Linked DNA regions of Saccharomyces cerevisiae S288C. The gene in region 1 interacts genetically with each later gene. Each region holds a gene or a part of one and is shown on either strand. Other genes may lie near its edges.

Region 1 (8,412 bases):
GACTATGTCTCGAACTACACTAATGAATACCTGTCCTGGCCAGAACCAGAAGAGGTTTCTGATCCTTTGGAAGCCCAAAGATTGATGGCTATTCATCAAGAAAAATGCAGACAGGAAGGTACTTTCAAGAGATTGGCTCTTCCAGCTTAAACGCACTTCGTCACTCCTCGAGCGTAGCCTTCCTCTACGACTTGTTTATGATTTCCCATTAGGTTTTTTTTCCTCCCTGATATTTAGATATTTACTATTAAGATATTATTTATGAGCCTTTTATTACAGCTTCTTTTCCCTTGTAATTATCGTACTTGCCTCCAAGTATCGAAAGTCTTGTGTTGCCTCGATTTACCACTTCAAATGCTGTAACCTGCACAATTTACGCCTGAATTAGGTGAGGGATAAAGACTGTTTTTAGGTGCGGCTTATTCAAAAGTATAAAAGTAGATAGCGTGGAATATATAAGGACATATTTCTTACACAAACGCACCAAAAAAGAAATCTGATTAATCGAAGGAAATCTGCGCAGACATTGCCGTGAGAAGTGAAGCCTTCTTGGTAACAGCCGGATCATCACCGATAAAATTAGTAGGAAAACCAACATCAAAAGGAATAATACTTTCTAAGTATTCTATCTGTTCTGGTGTCAGTTTGATACTTAAAGCCTCAATGTTCTGTTTGAGGTGTTCAATTTTCCTTCCACCAACCAATGGGAAAACATTTTTCGCCTTAGAGCGAACATAGGCAATAGCAATAGCAGTAACAGACTCAGTGCCATGTTCCTCAGCAACCTTGGCCAATGCTTCACTGATCTTAACCTCTTTATCCGTCTGTTTAGAAGTACCCGAAACAGTACGCAGACCCTCTCCATTCTTCTTCCGTTCCTCCATTGCTTTTTTACTCTGAAATCTTCCACCTCCCATAACATCCCATGGGGCTAGAGCCATACCAAAATGTCTGGCCATTGGAATGATATCGCGCTCAAAGTCCCTGTTCAACACATTCCATTTACCTTGATAGATACTAAAAGGAGTTTTCCCATGAGATGTGGCGTAGTAGTTTGCCGCAGAAACAACCCAAGCAGGTGTATCAGACACACCCAAATAGAGGACTTTGCCCTGCTGAACTAAAATATGCAAACTATCCATAACTTCTTCGATTGAACTCATATAATCCCACCAGTGAACGTAAAGTATATCAATCCAATCAGTTTGCAATTTGCGGAGAGAATCCCTCACACTCACATGTAAACTATGCTTGTGATTACCACAATAGTTGGCACTTTTACCGCCACCTACTTCATACTTCTTATAATCTCCGGTAAACTTGGTGGCAATTACAATTTGGTCACGCAACTTTCTTGATTTCATCCATTCACCTATCCAAATCTCTGACTCTTCATTTTGGTAACTGTTTGCAGTATCAATGCAATTACCTCCTGCTTCATAAAAAGCATCAAGAAGTTCAAAAGCCTGTTCCTTATTCATAGAGCCCATAAAGCCTGACCATGCATCGCCGATTGAAGCTCCTCCCAGAATTAGCGGTGAAACTCTTATGCCGGCAGTTTTAGAAAGAACCCTGAGACGTCCCAACTCGGTAGGTGGTTCAGGTAGAGGTTTAAATAATTCACTAATATTATTGAATAATATTTTGTAGCTATAGGAAGTGTATTCTAGTGAAATACAAAGCCGCTCAGTCAATTCGTCAGCTGGCCGATGAAAGGAAGAACTGCAACTGTCCTTGATCTGGAAATATTGTCATGACTTTTATATGGTTCAAAAATCTGCCCCCAATTTGTTCGAGGATATTTAGTGCAACTTAGTTGGGTCTTGGAACGAGGTCTGCTTACTAATTTTATGTTGACGGTTGAAAGCGGATTTTAAAACGTATGAATTTAGAAGAGAGCCAATCAAATAGGGGTACGCTTAATATTAAAAAAATATTAGTAATTGTTTGTATGACGAATAAAATTTGTAAGCACCTGATCCAATCCTTATTATTGAGCAAGAGACGTCTTGTTTCTGTACTCTTTGATAACTATCAAGGCGACATGAAACTAAGGTCATCTCCATCTGCCATTCCTCTAGTTCCGTCAACGAAAATTCTTCAAGCTATGGAGGCCCGGAACGACATTGTTGACAGTCTGATCATCAATAGTCACGCAACGGAAAGTGATCGCCGGACTTTAGGAGACCATGAGGTTAGACAATGTGAGGATACCAACTTCGGCTTCAAAATTTGATACAGGTTAATTTTGAAGGCAACATTTAGGTTCGGCCTTATTTAAAAAAACCTTCAGGTACGCGTTCAAGATCCCATTTTAAAGGTATAGGCAGATTGCACTATTTTACCGGCAAATGTGCGAATATCGAAACTGGAAGATGTTTTCAAGAAAATTGATTTAAGATCCATTTGTCGTGTTTAGAGTTCTCATTGTTCTGGTCAATGATTTCAAACTCAAAAGGCACAAGAAACTTACAAAATTTGTTTCTTATGAACATTACGCCATGTTCTTTGCGAGCATGTGCTATACAGTCTTGCTAGAAAATGGCCCTATAATTAGAAAGCTCAAAAAATAACCCAATGCTGCATCGATTTTTGGAGAAAGGGGGTCAATCATCATCTATCTTCATAAATAACGAGTTGCAGAAAAATTGGAAACTGGTTGATTTTGAAAAGTTTTCATTTTTCTGGCAACAAATTATAGCTACAAAAAAAGAAGTTATGGCGCATAAGATGCATCAATATATGGTGTGACCAGATTGGACGTAACTAGTACTCATGTTATTATTCATATCCTTCATTTTTCCTTCTTTTCTTCTCCTTCTCGAACAGTAACTTCAGATTGAAAGACGTGAGGATGCTTTAGAATGCACATTAAAATTAATATACTACTGGCCTCTTGTGTTTGTCATTGGCTTCTATTTTCAATAAAACATCCAGACAACCCTGCTGTTAATTTTGGAAAAAAAATTTCGCCGATTCTAATCATGTGACTCCTTTTCCCCAGGCAATACCGGAGAAAGCGTTCTATCTCAAACTATATAATTTGCGCTGCTCGTCTCCAAGCCCATGCTAGTGTTTACTTTCGGTTGTAAAAGGTAACTAGAAGTTTTAACGCAAGCATTGTATTATATTTTCCCACAATTGCTCTTAAGGACCTTTTTTTTTCTTGCGTGATCCTGCACTATTGAAAAGTCTTTATCAAAAATAGATGAAACTTTTTCAGGGTTCAACATTTAGAGGCTTTTCTCATATTCTTTACTCAGTTGCCTGCGAAGACCCTTCTGCCCGCTGCGCATTTTCTTAGAAAATCAAAAAAATTGCCTTTTCATCTTTTACCTTCCGAGTTGAATATGTTGACTATTTGCAAACAGGCGTATGATTGTCGTATATAACAGGGCACTTTCGGCAGTGAATCAATAGGAGGCGTATAAGAAAAGCCAATTAGTACCTATATATATATATATATATATATATATATATATATATTCCTTTATTATAATTCCTATCAGCGATTTTTGCATCACACCCAAGAAAAATCTATAATAGAGACACAAAAAAATGAACGTAACTGAAAATGCTCTATTGTTTAAGTGCGGTAGCAAGGGCTATATTAATCAAACCTATACGCCGACAGAAATTTATAATTGTGGGGTAGCTGAAGGAAAGAAAACTGCTAAAGAAAAGAACCCAACTTATTCAATTTTTTATGATACATTTCTCACTGGGCAGCCTGCTGAAAGTCCTGAAACGTTTACGTGTGGTTCGCATGGCTTCACAAATGCGAGTTATGTGGCAAGCGACTTTTATGCATGTGGTTTTCTGCAAGGGAAAGGTACAGAAACCAATGCGGGAATACATAATACAAGGCCTTCTCATTCTCTCGCCAAATTTACCATACTGTTCATGCTAGTGTTGTATACAATTGTCTAATTCTCAAGGTATGACACTTTGGATTGGTGGTCGCAGTAGCCACCATATAATTTTTTATCGTTTCTACATATAATACGAGACAGTCAGACAGAACTTTGGGTCGCCTGAGAAGAAAGACTATAAAAATGTAACCCGTCAGTAGGACTCATCTTAAAACAGTGGGTAATTTACTAAGGAGGCTGGAAAAACTGCGATAATCGGCTTATAGTACATATATATAGAATAATCATTAATCGAGCCTTTACCGCGAAATTCATGGATTTCTCAAAAACAAAGGTGCAATTACATGTTAAGCACCGAATTTCTATGCGAAACAGGTCCGTCTCATCAGTCATAGCTTTCCAAGTATATAAAACTTGAACGCAAAAGTGCGTCATCGACGCCTTTTTTTGCGCAAGGATTGTTACTATTCATTTAATGAACTCTGATGTCTTAATAAGCCAATGGTATCCATAAGTGAAGGTGAAGTCTACTGTGTTACATTAGCAAGTCAGAACTCCTATACGATACAGTATACTGCATTATGGGCACTAAAATAATTTAGATTATAGAAAATATCGATACTATGCTTCCACTTCTCACGAAGCGGCCATGTTTTAAATGAAGTACGTTAACGCTAACACAAGGCTTGACAACTTTCATGAGCGTCAAATAGTCTACGTGTGGGCTCACTTTTTCAGATTTCTTCTTGGCTTTTGTGAGATGTATAATTAACAATAATCATAAAATCGCTACATAAAACAAAGCATAAAAAATTACAGATTTCCTGTTCAAAAATCAAATCGGTCCAGTTCAGCTATTGTTCTGCCGTTGTTCATGCTCAGAAAATTGGACCATGGTGTCATCTAACTTTAGTTGGTCCCATTAAGCTCTCTTCTGTATATCATGTTTGCCATATTGTCATATCATCTGCTTAGTATTAAACCGTTGTGGAAAACAAGAAAATTGCGAATTACTAGTATAGAAAATGCATTCTAAGTCGCCTGTGATTCCAATAGCAAAGAAATTGATCTTAATGGAAGTAGGAAATAGCTGTGGCAAAGAGACAGGATACTAAGATTGGTTTAAGGCGAGGTCATACTTAGCTATTTCCTTCACCAACATTGGTTTTCGAACAGTCAAGAGATGAAAACGCAAAAAAGTGCACTATAAAGTAAATACTCAAACGTTCCCAAAACAAAACGAGAAGAAGCGATAGGCACCTCAAAACTGAAATTATGGGCAAACAATATAACCCGTAAAAGATCACTTTACGACCAGAACATAATCAACATGGGTGGCCCCCATGTTGTACTCAGTTAGCTTTTTGAGCTAGCAAATATATCAAGAAGCCCGCATGTGCTACTTACGTTTGAATTACTTCTCGTTGTAACGCACTTTTCTACAACGTACCTCACTAGTAAATATAACTTAATGCTTGCAGGTTAGCCCATCGCTACAACACCTCCCCACAAAGTATTTACTTCAAGAAATCGATCTTGGCGAGTATATCCTTATCTTTATGTAAGTATCTTTTTCGTCTTCAAAGTATGCCGGGTATTGATGGGCACGGAAGATGTAAACAAAATGGAAAACAAATAAGAACAGAATCTGAAACGTCATTTGAGAATTTAAAATATGTAAATCATTCCTCTCGAGCCAACCAAGGCTGTTCTTGCTAGAAACCAGCAATTGGGCTTCTCATTCAAAACAGTATCCGTCTTTGCCTTAACATTGTTATTTGGCCTTTATCCCAGATATACGCAACCGTATTTATTCAAATCCAAAGAAAAAAAGAGCAGACAAATTATCAAACAACAAGTACCGGAGGTGAGCAATGATTCAAAATTCTGCTGGTTATCGATCGCTGAATACTGCATCTCCGATGACCGTGCAGGTGAAGAATCAGAAGAAAATATGCGCCCGTTGTAACAAGTTAGTTATACCCGATAGCCAACGAACTAAAACAACTTTAAAGGCTCTCGGTAAATATTATCATGAAAGTTGTTTTACCTGCCAAGACTGTCAGAAACCTTTAAAACCGAAGTACTTCCCATATCAAGTAGACAAGACAAGTGAATCTATATTGTTATGCCAATACGATTATTTTAGAAGACATAATTTGTTATGTCATGTATGTGATACCCCATTGCGTGGATTATATTATACCGCATTCGGTTACAGATACGACGAAGAGCATTTTTCTTGTACAATATGTGCTACTCCTTGTGGGGTTAAAAAATGCTTCATGTACGGAAACCAATTGTATTGCAAGTACCACTTTCTCAAGTATTTTTCGAAACGTTGCAAAGGGTGCGAGTTCCCAATATCGGATCAATATATCGAGTTTCCTAAAGGTGAAGAAATACATTGTTGGCATCCGGAATGTTATGGAATTCATAAATATTGGCATGTAAATTTAGCAGCAGAAACTGTTGGTTTGCAGTACCTTCCCAAGCTGGAATATAACCCAAATTCCGGAGACAAAGATATAAACCCAACTGCCTACGAGTTAGATAAACAAATGCAGGCGTTTAACTTTATTCTATCTAAAACGTGGTCGGTTTTATATCGTTTTGAGGAAGAGGCAGCTTCTTGCATTTCTGATATGTTTCAATATTTGACAAGCAATGATCAGTTAAAGGGCATAGAGTCTACGGGTCTGTTGGTACTAAAAATCGACTGTCTTTTCCGGGGACTGGATACTTTAAACCTCTCGACGAACAAAAGTATGCCAGTTAACAGTGATCAAGAATGCATTGAAAACAACGCAATGGCGGCCAGTAAATACAGCAAGTTTCCCAAAAATCTGTCCACAAAAATTATGATATATTTACAACTCTTAAGAAAGTTAGGGACAGAAAACAAAAACGAAACTATCACAATTTCATCTTTTATGTCTGTTATTACTGGATTAGCCCATTTTCTAAAACTGTTAACAAGATTTGGGCTATATACGGCTCTAGAAAACAATAAGTTGACTCATTCTGTTAATCCATTGTTGAGGTTTTTAAGAGAAGTAGAGAAAAATGAGCTTTTTGAAAATAACCCGTTTCAGTATATAAAGACTCCTGTTAACGCCACAGATAGTTGCGCTGGATGCAATAAATACATACAGGAGGAATGCATTCAATTTTATGAGCACCGGTGGCATATTGCTTGTTTTACTTGTTCTTCATGCCATAAGAATATAAATCCGAGGAGTTTGACGGATCCCACCTTTAATAAAGAGAAAAAAAAGATACTATGTTCTCACTGCTCAATTGATGATCCGGCCTCTGTGCCGGGTTTCAAATTTGTTACTAAGCTAGCACAACTAATTTTTCTTCTAAAAATTGCCCTAGTCAAATCAAGAACTGTAATGTTGAAATCGAAAGCATCTAACAAGGTAGGCAGAAACTCTTTACAGAGTACTATGCTAAAGGAACAAACTTACATTAGGACACTGAATGATATTAAAAGATTGAGATCTAGAAGAGAAAGTGTTCGGGTCACTCATAACAAACAACAAGCTAGAAAATCAGTGATACTGGAAACTGCAGAGACAGATTTAAATGACCCGACAAAACAAGGAGATAGTAAAAATCTTGTGATTCAAACAGATGACCCATCATCGAGCCAACAAGTGAGCACACGTGAAAATGTTTTCAGTAATACTAAGACGTTGACACTAGATGATATTTCACGTATTGTTGCCGCTGAACAAGCAAGGGAGCTAAGACCTAACGCTTTTGCACACTTTAAAAAACTAAAAGAAACCGATGACGAAACTTCGAATGTTGTTCCCAAGAAAAGCGGAGTTTATTACTCTGAATTAAGTACGATGGAACTCTCGATGATAAGGGCTATCAGTTTGTCACTGCTAGCTGGTAAACAACTGATATCGAAGACTGATCCTAACTATACTAGCTTAGTCTCAATGGTCTTCTCGAATGAAAAGCAAGTCACAGGTAGCTTTTGGAACAGAATGAAAATCATGATGAGCATGGAGCCTAAAAAGCCCATCACTAAGACTGTTTTTGGTGCTCCTTTAGATGTGTTGTGCGAGAAATGGGGTGTTGATTCCGATTTAGGTGTGGGGCCAGTGAAGATTAGGATCCCCATAATTATTGACGAGCTAATATCATCTTTGAGGCAAATGGATATGTCAGTAGAAGGTATTTTCAGGAAAAATGGAAATATCAGAAGACTGAGAGAACTAACTGCTAACATCGACAGTAATCCAACAGAAGCTCCAGACTTCTCGAAAGAAAATGCAATCCAATTATCTGCTCTTTTGAAGAAATTTATCAGAGAGCTTCCCCAACCGATTTTATCGACAGACTTATATGAACTATGGATTAAGGCCGCGAAAATTGATTTAGAGGATGAGAAACAGCGTGTTATATTGCTAATATATTCCTTATTACCCACTTACAATCGCAATTTACTGGAGGCACTTTTGTCATTTTTGCATTGGACGTCCTCATTCTCTTACATTGAGAATGAAATGGGATCAAAAAT
Region 2 (6,412 bases), on another chromosome or scaffold:
TTACAGAGCCGACGGTAGCACTATTCGTCCAACCAAAAATGGCAGTAAAAATCATCCAACCTCCATCTTTTTCACCATTGCAACAATTAACATGCCAAACAGAACGAGATATGTCGTACGAACCGGGTCCATTTCCTACTTCACTCATGTCTTGACCGTTACATTTGTTGACGTAGTCTTGCAATTCAAGTTGCCATACACCTTTGGAAAACAAACCAGCCGCGATCAAGTAGAGGAAGCAGGTGGCGACTACAAGGCATATCTTAAGTGAAAGAGAACTTGAGTACCTGAAGAAAAAAATACCGAACACCGTACTGATTGCAGTAGCAAGGACCATAGAGAGGGGAATCGAGGATAGTGGTTGGTCAATACCGATACCTCCAATGAATACAACAGCTTCTAACCCTTCTCTCAAAGTCGTTATAAATGGTAATATGAAGAAGGAGTACTTTTCACTGAATTTCACACCTTTTTGGGTTTTGTTTCCCAGCAAATTATTGTCCTTTGAATAAATGATAGAAGCTAATTTCACTCTGAACTTCTCTCTTAACTTCCCCATTCTTAAAAAAAACAACCCCATGACAGAAATAATAACGGACGCGACAAGACTTAAGACACCTTCATAATAATGTTCACTCAGTGTCCATAAGTCGGTTCCAATATGATAAAAGATACTAACAAACGCACCCCCGATTAACATACACAGCAACAAACCAAATGCGCCGCCCGCTAGAATTTGTATTTTTAATTTCTGATATAGCTTAACGTTGTCAGCCGTATGTTCATCGGACTCGCGGTCCTGGTCTCTAAGCTCATTAGAGTACTCGTAAATTTCTTCTTCTTCCTCCACATTTAGCGGCCTCGATTTATTATTAGCAGCCGTAGCGGACGTTCCAATAGCATTACCGTCTGAAGGCCCTGCTTGTAAGAAGGCAGTGGTCGAATCTGCGTTTGTGTTCGTATTTGGACTTGGAAGACCAGCAGAAGAGGAACTTCCTTCAAACGGGCTGTCGTCCTCAACAGACAGACCTTGTTTGACGATCGTCAACAGGATAGAAACAATGACAACAATTTCTAAGGATTCCCTTAAGAAAATGAAGAATATCTGGAAAGAAAAATAATCCTCAAACGCCATGGTGACTAGAAATATGAACACCACTCTAGTTCTCTATTCTTAGAGTTTTTTCGCTTTTCTGTAGAGGACAAAAGTTCAGTAAGATGCTTGATTCTTTATAATATCAAGTTTGTGTTTTTGTAGGCTGGTTTAGATACAATTTTGCTTTTCTCTCTTCATCTCCGGCCGCACCGCACCCATTTTTGAACCCAAGAAGGCACTAGAATAAAGTGAGGTGGCTACTACATTGAATTATGTGTATATAGATAGATACATGTTGACGTTTTAGCACCTGTTTTGACGGAGCAGGCGCTATTTGTAGTTTGGTTTTTAAATTCCTGGTGGAAGCTTGTAATTTCCTGCTGAAAAGTACTTTCTAGTACAGAAGTAGTCAGGAGTCCAGGTGACGTCCTTGCTAGGTTCGCAGATACACTTGTTTTGTAGTCTAATCTTCTGTTCGATAGGACAAGAGGTGAAATCTGGATGATGGAATCCAAGACCGTCAAAGAAATGGATTTCTGACTTGTCCAAGAACAAAGAGGCAGCGATGGAGTGCACTGGCGCATCCCCCCATCTTTCGTAGAAGAATCCACCAGAACTGTCTAAGTAATCAAAGTATTCTCTGTATGCATCGGACCTGAAGAAGTCTAAAGAGCCGATTTCGAAGTTGGTCCAGAAATGACACATATTATAAGTGTCACCATCATCATTCGAAATGAATTTCATGAGGTTATTTTTGTGTAAGAATTTAGGATTTTTCTTGATGAATTTCTTTGTCGTTTCCCACAAGGTTGGGATTGTGCGCTCATATTCACTTACCGAAAGAATGAATCCATATTTCTTGTTATTTACTTTTAAAAACTTGAATATGTCATACTGAATATCACAGAATAAAGTGATATCGGTATCCACTCTCCAAAACCATTCGTACTCCTCCAGTAGTGGGTGTCTCCATATGAACCCTGACTGGAAACGGCACATGTGACGGTAAGGCACGGAACTACCATATGGAATATCCAATTTTCCCATTGCAAGCCTTTTCTCATCGAATTTTTCAGTATCGATCCAAGATGGAATGGACCAATGGTCCTTTGGGATTGTCCCATATTTTGCCTTGCCTGAAACCAATGCACTGGTAACACGTTTAAACTCATCACTAAATGGTTGGTCATTCAAGAACACCCAATCGTAGTGATATCTGTTATTGAACCTGTCTTCAACATGTCTAATAGATTTTACCAAGTTCCATAAATCTGAATTCCTGGCCAATGTGACCATAACACCCTTTTCCTTCTTTCCATCGTCCACGGGATGGATTACTCCTTGTGACTTGTCAGTAAACGGCATCAAATAATCCTTACTGGCTACACGACTGACACTGGTGCCCTGAGCTATTGGTACCTCTGGGGACCTTGAGCCACTCATGAAAAATAAAAAGGATAACACTATGATGAGCCCAATGAATGATGATCTGATTCCCTTTTGGTATTTTCTAATCAGCAATGCCGATTTGGGCATTAGCTTCTTTTTGTGGTGCACAGACATAATTGCACGCTGGATATTGATAGTGTTGTTGTCCGCAGACGAGGCCTGACCTTCTTTATGCAAATTTTAACCATCAGTTACGTTGTTTTCTTCGAAAAGTTTCAAGAGGACGCGCCATTCTTTTAACCCGGCAATTTTAAAGGGTTCATTAATAAAGAACTACCAAGATGGTACAGTCGCATTTGGATCGTAACTCAACGTTAGAAGAAAGCCTTAAACCGAGAACTTTTTCTCTTGGTAATGAATATGGCAGAACGTGCAGAAGCAACAAAAAGTTGGTCCTGTGAGCCCCTTTCTGGAAAGACGCTAGAAGAGATTGTTCAAAATGCAGAAAATGCAGCTGATTTGGTAGCTTACATTCGCAAACCAGAGGTAGATTTGGACTTTAGGTTGAAGTTTATCGCAGAACATGAGGAGTTTTTTAATGTACAACTATCGGATCGAAATTCAAGAATAAGGACGTGTCACAACTTGAGCGATAAAGGGATACGGGGTGATACTGTTTTCGTCTTCGTGCCTGGGTTGGCTGGCAACTTAGAACAATTTGAACCCTTACTCGAGCTTGTGGACTCTGATCAAAAGGCATTTTTGACGTTAGATCTGCCCGGCTTTGGTCATAGTTCAGAATGGAGCGACTACCCCATGCTGAAAGTGGTGGAACTTATTTTCGTTCTTGTATGTGACGTCTTAAGAAAATGGTCTACAGCGGTGCCGAATAATGATAACGTAAATCCATTTAACGGTCATAAGATAGTGCTTGTAGGGCATTCTATGGGTTGTTTTCTGGCATGTCATCTTTACGAGCAGCACATGGCTGATACAAAAGCGGTACAAACGCTAGTTTTGTTGACGCCCCCCAAAGCACATATCGAGCAGCTTTCTAAGGATAAACATATTATCCAGTGGGCTCTCTATGGTGTGTTTAAATTGCCATGGCTATTTGACGTTTATAGAAACAAATTCGATCAGGTAAAAGGTCTACAAAGTTCCGGCATCAAGCAGTATTTTTATCAACAAGGTGATGATGTCAAGTTGAAATACAGGAAGTTCTGGCAATTTAAAAACAACATAAGCAACAAAAGTAGAACCATCATAGGTTATTTACTAGGATGGGAAACTGTTGATTGGGTTAAATTCAATGGTGTATTGACGCAAACGGATATGAAACAGAAAATTATAATATTTGGCGCTGAAAAAGATCCTATAGCTCCTATTGAAAATTTGGAATTTTACAAACAAACTATAAATAAAGAATGTCTTCGTAAAGTGATTATTTTACCTGACTGTTCTCATAATTTATGCTTCGACCGTCCAGAATTGGTGTGTGAAAACTTTCAACGAGAGGTGATTGATAATTCCAAATTGTAGAAGGTTTTCTAGATTTCACATTGCGTAACTAGATTTTCGTGCACACTGCTACATGAATTGATAAAACAAACCAGAAAAAGTAACTAAGACCAATATTTTCAAATTTTTCATAGTATACTTTATATCGTACATCTTACAAGCAAAAATCAAAGGTAGTGTCTATGTATGCAAAAAAATAGGAAACGAAAAATAAATATAAATAAATAAAGCCATGAAATGTAGAAAGGCTATGCAAAAAAGAAAAAAATAAACATCAATAATATTTGGCCAAATAAATTAACAGAACGTATGCTGTTAAAAGAGAGCAGTCGTTATATGATGCTTTCAGCATAGTAGTTATTTTCGCCAACATTTCTCCTTAGATCAACTCTCCTCAACTCCTTTAACCTACTAATCAAATTGTGTGTAATACTGTCTATTCTCAAAGTTGGTTTTCCAACTTTCATTTTGTCCATATCAATGTCATCATCCACACATAATTTAACCACTAAAGAAACATAATCTTTGGAAACTTTTGTGAGCCAAAATGAAGTTGGCTTTTCTGTTTTTAATATTGTCAACCTGAATTGTAAAGATTCTGCTTCGAGATTGGAATCAGAAGTAGCATCAGCCTCAGATCCGGCCCCATATCTAATATCAAATAAGTTTGATATTTCGAGAATATCCGGGTCTCGGCAACAATAGTTTTTTATATATAGCTTTTCGGACTTGATATTAAAAAGCTCTTCTAATCCTAAATCATCTAAATTTGAAAGATGATCCATAACCATCAATGCGACAAATTCATGCAATTTGGCATTACAAGCCCAGGAAAAATTTCTATCCAAGCCAGAGTCCCGGAAACTGAATAAGTGTCTTTCATAAGAGTTGTTTTCCATGGATTTATAATCCAAATGCTGGCGAAACGTCCTCATTACAAAATACTTTACCATATATTGCCTGCACCACACAATGTCATTCATTTTCACCTTAGTTAAGGAGCAGTAGCCACCTTTTTCTTCATTTCTATTGCAGATCATTTCAAAAATTTCAAAAGGGTTTAGCTTCTTTAATACGACGTTCTTATTGTTCAAGGTATTGTTGCGTCTGTGTTCCTCTCTTGTTTTCGTTTGTGCATCGATTGGAGGTGGGTAATCTGTCCAATTCGCCTGACCTCCAATCCAACTAGATGGATTGGTACCTAGGCTTGAAGAACGTGAGTGTTTCTTGCTTAACCCCTCATAATATTCATAACCTTTGCCAGAATCGGTCATATAGACAATTTCTAAATCTTTCTCAGGGCCTGCAGAAACACTAGACTCCTGGACAGCGGGCAACAGTGAAGATGTCATCCTTCTTCTTTCGGATCTTTGGTTGATTAATTTGAAATCGGTACAAATAACTAAATTGGAAAGGTTTAGTTCAACAAGGTTAGGACACAGGTTCAGCATATGTAAAATATAACCTAGGGGCAGATCTTTATAAGGAGCGTACTTTAAAAGAAATTTGTTGGCATACGGATGATGCGTACTAAATGGTTGTTCAATGCTAAATTTTAATGTCGAAGAACGATAATTGGATGGATGCCCCGAATCGTGCTTTAAAACTTTAAAGTCATCGTCAGACTTATCCTTCGAGTTCTTTAAATTAATCGTATTAGCTGTCCTTGCCTTTCTATTTCTTGAACTTAACCTCATTCTAAACCAGGAAGATGACGTAATGTCAGATATAGGTTTTGCTTTCTGAGGAGATGACCTTGTGGACTTCGCAGAAGCTTTTTTCAATGATCCAGCAGTGGAAACTCTTGACAGATTACTACCAGAAGAGATGTTACCATTGCTGGTATTAGACGTGGTTGAAGACAATGAGACATGGGAGGTGTTATAGATGGATGACATGATACTCGTCGTTATGGAAGCAACGGAACTATTGGAACGTTGTCTCCTTGTAGAGTGAACACCGGTGGAATTTCCAGAAGATGTAGAAGTGATAGAAGAAGAACGAGAAACCACTTTTTTCAGTTTAAAGCTGTTCAACAGAGGAGAGCTATAAAGGGGTTCATTTCTGTATCTCCAGTCTCTCCAACCAGCTAATGCCAAGTCTTCAACTTCACTGCCATTTGAAGCGTCGTCTTTGATTAATCCGCTATTGGCATCATCCTCGTTAGAAATGGTAGATGTTGGAGTAGCTGGAGGTAGATTCAAACTTGTGTTAGTAGATCTGCGGCGACGGCGTCTGTGACGCCTTGAGTGGCCATCATCGTCTAGGCCTTGAGAATCCTTCGAGTCTTGGCCTATAATTCCCGGCTTCAAGTGTGATAGGTCCAATACTTTCACGTATGCCCCGTTATCCGGATGTAATCTTAGTGAGGTGACAAACTGCGCCACTCTGTAAGTGGAAGTGAAG
Region 3 (6,007 bases), on another chromosome or scaffold:
AGGTTTTAATTGGTTAATATTCATGGAGTGGGTTATCTTGGCAACTACGAATTCTCTTATCATTACATTTTTAAATGTTGTAATGTGGGGTATGAGTTCTCTTTCAGATAACACTATGTATCCTCTAGGTCTCATCAATTTCACAGCCATTGTTGCCTTAATTAACGTTAAATCCCAATTTGTTGAAATGCACAATAGGAATTGGCTGGCTTTTACTTCTGTAGTTCTATCCTGTGGAGGTTGGTTAGTGTGGTGTTGTGCCCTTCCTATTTTGAATAATACTGACCAAATATATGATGTAGCATATGGCTTTTACAATCATTTTGGTAAAGACATTACATTCTGGTGTACTAGCTTGGTGTTGGCACTGTTACCTATCACTTTAGATATAGTTTACAAAACATTCAAAGTTATGATATGGCCATCAGATTCTGATATTTTTGCTGAGCTGGAACAAAAAAGTGATATCAGAAAGAAGCTGGAACTAGGAGCCTATAGCGAAATGAGGCAAGGATGGACGTGGGATAAAGATCCCAGTACTTTCACAAGGTACACAGACAAAGTTCTTTCAAGGCCAAGAACTAATTCACGTGCAAGTGCAAAAACTCATAACAGCAGCATATATTCAATGTCAAATGGGAATGTAGACCATTCCTCAAAAAAAAATTTCTTTGGAAACTCTTCTAAAAAGAGCTCTGAACGATACGAGGTATTACCTAGTGGCAAGTTAATCAAGCGACCATCCTTGAAAACACAAAGCAGTAAAGACAGTATTGGCGGCAATATAACTACTAAACTGACGAAGAAACTGAAGCTTCCATCGAGGAATGTGGAAGATGAAGATGTGAACCAGATTATTCAGGCAAGGCTAAAGGATCTGGAGTAATTCTCGTGATCTTGTTTAATTACATTATTGAGAACATTTTTATATATATACCTTTTATTGGAAATTAGTAGCGAGCTTAGAAGACTTACTTGATTTGTTGAGTCGAATATTATTTCGGCATCCACACATTAGAAAATTAACAAGATGTATTTTGAGAGAAAGCAAGGCACAACGCATGGGAAATCTTCACAAATTTTAAATACTATCTATAAACTAACTCTAATTATAAAAGTGGCTTGATTACTTTCGGTGTCAAAAGAAAAAGTAAATGTATGGCGTAAATGCTATGATTAGTTATCAGAAAATAAAGATGTTTATAAGTATTATACTGTCTGATTTAATTTCCTCGATATATTAAAATTCTAATACCATTATGTCCTTCTGGTAAACTGTGGAACAAAATAAAACATAGCCAGGAAGCCTGAAGGAATGACCTAAATGTCATCTAGTATACAAATGCGTTTTTTCAATTTTGCTTGCTCCTTGTAGTTTTATTTTATAGTACAACTTTGACTAACGTTGGAAAATAATAAAAAAATGACAGTAAAAATATTGTGTTTAACTAAACAGGTAATCTTTAATCATAGGAAGAACAATAAAGATGATGAAAAGAACGAGCATATTTTTTAATTGCGAATTCACTGCATTTTCTTCTGCTTGTTGTTGCTGCTGTCTTGAGCGGGGTTGTTGACGCATGAACGGTGAGCCACCACGATTATTAGTATAAACTCTGAAACCACCGGGGCCTCCAAATGAAAAAGTGGAAGCAGAAGGCCCAAATGGTGAAGCGCCGAATGGGCTGCCGCCTGCGTTGAACAAAAAGTCGAATATGTCCTCTGGTGGTCCAGCTCTTTGACCACCGAAACGTGAATTGAAAAACATGTCTTCAAATCCGCCACCCATTGGAGACCCACCTGCACTTCCTCGGAACCCTGAAGCAGCACCTCTGGATGGCATTTGTCTATCGTCAGGATCCCTACCTATCCTGTCATAAATACTGCGCTTTTCCTCATTGCTTAGTACTTCAAATGCCCTATTAATTACTTTGAAAGCTTCTCCCGCTTTTGGATGAGAGTTTTTATCAGGATGCAATTTGATTGCTAGTTTTCTGTATGCCTTCTTGATCTCACTATCTGTGGCTTTCCTATCTACCTTCAAAATTTCGTAAAACTCATGCTTGTCTTTTGACAGTATTTCTAGCGCGATTTTTTCTTGATCCTCAGTGAAAGACATGTTCTTCCTATTATAGACCTTCCACAAGTTATATTGCAGAAACAGCGTTGCTGCTATTATGGCTTCTGGAAGTAGAGGTGTATGAAAAGAACTTCTGCCAGCTTCCTTTATGTTCTTCACGAATACTTTCCAGCCTACTCTGCGGGTTACCCACTATACAAATACCATAATATGTTACGCGGTCCGCTATATACGAATCTACTATGTACGTCGAACATCATTAATCAAGTTTTTGGGGTTGTCATACATGGCTAAAACGCTCAGGATATCACGTAGGTGTTTCAAACCCCTTGTTGGTGGAGACCAATCCTGGTAAGTTCGCCAAATCTCTGTTAATCTTCTCAAAGCTTCCACGGTGTCCCTCTGAAAAACAGGGCCAGAAGTACTCGTGGTACTATCCAAGAAGCAGTTTAATGAGATGGAGAGCCTCAACGCATGTGGTATCTCTCGCTGCGGTAAATTTTTCAATTGAATCAATTTGGAGAAGGAATCATGAATTTTCCATACCAAATCATATTGATTGACAGTATTCAATATGCTTGTAGGAGTGTCGAGGTCGATGTTTAAACGTAAATGCTTACGACTTAATGGGTTTTTCGTGAATATTGTATTGTACAGAAAGCATTTATAGACTTTATCGTCATCATAAATGTCTGAATATATCCTTACGAAATCCGAAGATTTTTCGTTTTGATACTGCACAAACTGCAAAAAATCCTTTACCGTAGAAATATTCTCTGGCAATAATGATTCCGATGATGAACCGAGACTTTCACCCTCCCTTTGGTCGTAATTGAGTTGATGACCATTCATTTTCCACTTACTGTCCATTTCTTGAAGCCAGATTTTGTTGCTGTTCTGGTACTGTTTCCTAATATTTGGAGGCAATGTGTAATCATTAAATGACCTTGAAATAAAAAAAGGACTTAGTAAATTAATTATGGGAATAAATTGTTTATATCCTAAATTCTCCGTTATCATCAAAATATCCCATAAGGTTATTTCGAAAAGTCTGTTGGTGGGAATCTTCAATCTCGATTCAAAATTAGGGGTCCTTACATGGACGTCATTAATGTTACTAGTTGCTTCATCATCGGTATCAAGGTTTAAATTATTAGCATTCTTTAAATCAATGCCCATGTACTTCCCATTGCACCATAAATTTCTCAAGATTTTAGGGTGATTATAATCTATAGCAAGTTTTTCTGAAATTGTCATAAAATTATCATAAAGCTTACCAAAAAATGTCAGTCGAAACGTATCCCAATTGAACAAGAGCCAATCCAATGCATCCTGAACTAGTTTAGATTCACTAGAATCTATCCGCCTATAATTTTTGATTTTAGATAATGTGTCTTGTTGCTTTTTGTCAATGCCCTGAAATAACTGTTTTTCTTTGATTTGTTGGCTCTTCGTTGTGAAATCATTATTTGAATCATGATCATTACTATCATTTTCGTTAGTACTGGAATTGGAACCCAAGTTATTATAACTATTGCTAGTAAAGTCAGTGCTGTGGTCCCAAAATCGATAGCCTTGTAAACATGACTGGAAACTCAATACACTCACTGTAGTGTTTTCATCAAACTCTAGAACTTCATTATTTTGCACGATATATTTCGCTAATAGCAAAGTTAAGGGAACGCTGTGATAAACGCCCACAAAAAAAATTGAATCTACCTCTTTGAAAAGATGAGCCCAGTGGTTCAGTAACTCTACACATTCTTTATATGTAGGTATTAAATCTTGATTATGCAGTGGGCACTGGAACGATAGGGTCAAGACTCTTTGAGGTTGTTCTTGCGCTAGATTTTGTGACAATTTTCTAGAAAGATAATAAGCCGATCTTTGTGATTCTAATGAGCGCTGCTCATACTTTTCTGGTAAATCCCCCACGACGGATATTATAATAATTCTCTTATCCTTCAGTAATGCGGTTTTTTTTTGTCTTAAATAGAGATGTTGCTCATTAGGGAAGTTATAGTAATTTTTGATAGTATTCAATACCTTAGTTCTTAGTGGTTGGACGTGCAGAAAATTCAAAGGGTTATCTGATGGTAGGATTAAAGAATCATTAATAAATACATTATACCCAGGGTTACCTCCCTCCCCAGGATATTTGTTTAATGGCAATGGGCATTTGGCTGATCCTGTACCAGAGACACTGATTATTCCTGGGGTATCTATGGAATCAATTATGTTTGATGAATTTGATATATGTGGAATTGCTTCGTACCAACACCATGATTTCGACTTTTTTGAAATTATATCCTTAGCCTCATTTTCCAAGAAGTTGATTTGTTCAGTGTTTAGTTGAGAGTAGCGGGTATTATCATCAACAACAATTGGGGCACTTCTATATCTGGATGTTGCAAAAGAAGCGATTTTAGACCATATCCCTTTATTGTCATTATTCGAGTTCACGCTATCTTGAAAATCCGTTGTCGGACTACTCCTTCCTTGTCCATTAGGATATTCTGCAATTCTTCCCGTGTTTGGCTCATCGTCGGCAGTGGAATTCCACCAGGGTTTCCATCTGTTTTGTTGTCGTGGACGTTGGGGTGGGACTTCCTGCTGGTCCTCTCGTATCTGCTGCTGCTCTTGTGTTTGATGCTGCAACTGTTTATCCTGTTTCTGCTGCACAACATCCATTATAATAGCGTTTTATATGTTGTGCTAAATTGCTACTACACTTGCTCGCTTTTACTTATTCTGTTTGTAGTTGACCTTTATTTAACGTTGATTTTTGTTATTAACCTGCGCGAATCTGTATTAAGGGCGCATATTCCATGGGCAATTTCATTATAACAGAAAGGAAGAAAGCAAAGGAGGAAAGAAGCAATCCACAAACAGATAGCATGGATGATTTGTTAATTCGTAGACTAACAGATCGAAACGACAAGGAGGCCCATTTAAATGAGTTGTTTCAAGATAATAGTGGCGCCATTGGTGGCAACATTGTCAGCCATGACGATGCTTTATTGAATACACTGGCAATTCTACAAAAAGAACTGAAAAGTAAGGAGCAAGAAATACGAAGATTGAAAGAAGTTATTGCGTTGAAAAATAAGAATACGGAAAGGTTGAATGACGAATTGATTAGTGGAACCATTGAAAATAATGTTTTACAACAAAAACTCTCGGATCTGAAAAAAGAACATTCCCAGCTAGTTGCGAGATGGCTAAAAAAGACAGAGAAAGAGACAGAAGCCATGAACAGCGAAATAGATGGAACGAAATGATGCATCAGTTGTCAAATCGTCACAAAATGCATACAAAAGAAAATAAAATCATTGTGGTGCATATACATGGACAGAATATGAAACGCCAAAGTGTTTGCAATAAAGAGGTGAAAATATGTTAAACATGCTATAGAGAGTACACCTGCAAGTTAAGAAAATGCCATTCGTGTTTTTATCTACTATAATGTAATGTGACAGCTGTTTTAAACCTTTCTTAAGGTCGTTTGTGCGAGAACAGGCTTTTTTTTTGGAGAATGTATCTTGAGAGAAACTCAATAGTAATAACTGGATGCATAAAGAAAATTTCATATGAATCACTACAAATCTTTGGCGTTAGAATTCTATTGGGTAAATTGAACTTTGTAGCTTTTTGATGGTAAACTTGGCGGTTTTGCGCGACCCATGATCCTAAGAAACCCGCAGTTTCTATTAGGATTCACGATGGTCTTTATCTCACCTTCTATTATGTGTAAGTTGAAATGCCCCTTGCTGTTCTTATAGCAGAAAGCTTTTTTTTTCATTTATAGGACTAGCATTTTGGCATTGGAAGGGAAAAAATCATGCTTTCATTGAAAAATGAAAAGAAACATATCGTTATTTTGTGGGAACACTGAAGTATAATTTTTTGTTTCGGAAATTTACCATT

The links.
Region 2: mutations in AAD4 (region 1) and KTR3 together harm fitness more than expected from each alone (negative genetic interaction), as found in Saccharomyces cerevisiae (2 studies listed by BioGRID).
Region 3: mutations in AAD4 (region 1) and HLJ1 together harm fitness more than expected from each alone (negative genetic interaction), as found in Saccharomyces cerevisiae (2 studies listed by BioGRID).

What each region holds. Positions count from the first base shown.
Region 1 is NC_001136.10:17,077-25,488, forward strand, and holds AAD4 (putative aryl-alcohol dehydrogenase), read right to left. Parts: upstream 1,491-8,412; coding exon 501-1,490; downstream 1-500. Other genes in the region: THI13 (4-amino-5-hydroxymethyl-2-methylpyrimidine phosphate synthase), read left to right, coding at 1-150; YDL242W (uncharacterized protein), read left to right, coding at 1,883-2,236; YDL241W (uncharacterized protein), read left to right, coding at 3,559-3,930; GTPase-activating protein LRG1, read left to right, coding at 5,747-8,412.
Region 2 is NC_001134.8:629,869-636,280, reverse strand, and holds KTR3 (mannosyltransferase KTR3), read right to left. Parts: upstream 2,660-6,412; coding exon 1,445-2,659; downstream 1-1,444. Other genes in the region: FTH1 (Fth1p), read right to left, coding at 1-1,135; LDH1 (triacylglycerol lipase), read left to right, coding at 2,900-4,027; COS111 (Cos111p), read right to left, coding at 4,339-6,412. UniProt on the Saccharomyces cerevisiae protein: Possible glycosyltransferase that transfers an alpha-D-mannosyl residue from GDP-mannose into lipid-linked oligosaccharide, forming an alpha-(1->2)-D-mannosyl-D-mannose linkage.
Region 3 is NC_001145.3:573,830-579,836, reverse strand, and holds HLJ1 (type I HSP40 co-chaperone HLJ1), read right to left. Parts: upstream 2,120-6,007; coding exon 1,445-2,119; downstream 1-1,444. Other genes in the region: aminophospholipid-translocating P4-type ATPase DNF3, read left to right, coding at 1-886; CVM1 (Cvm1p), read right to left, coding at 2,321-4,771; ATG16 (Atg16p), read left to right, coding at 4,909-5,361.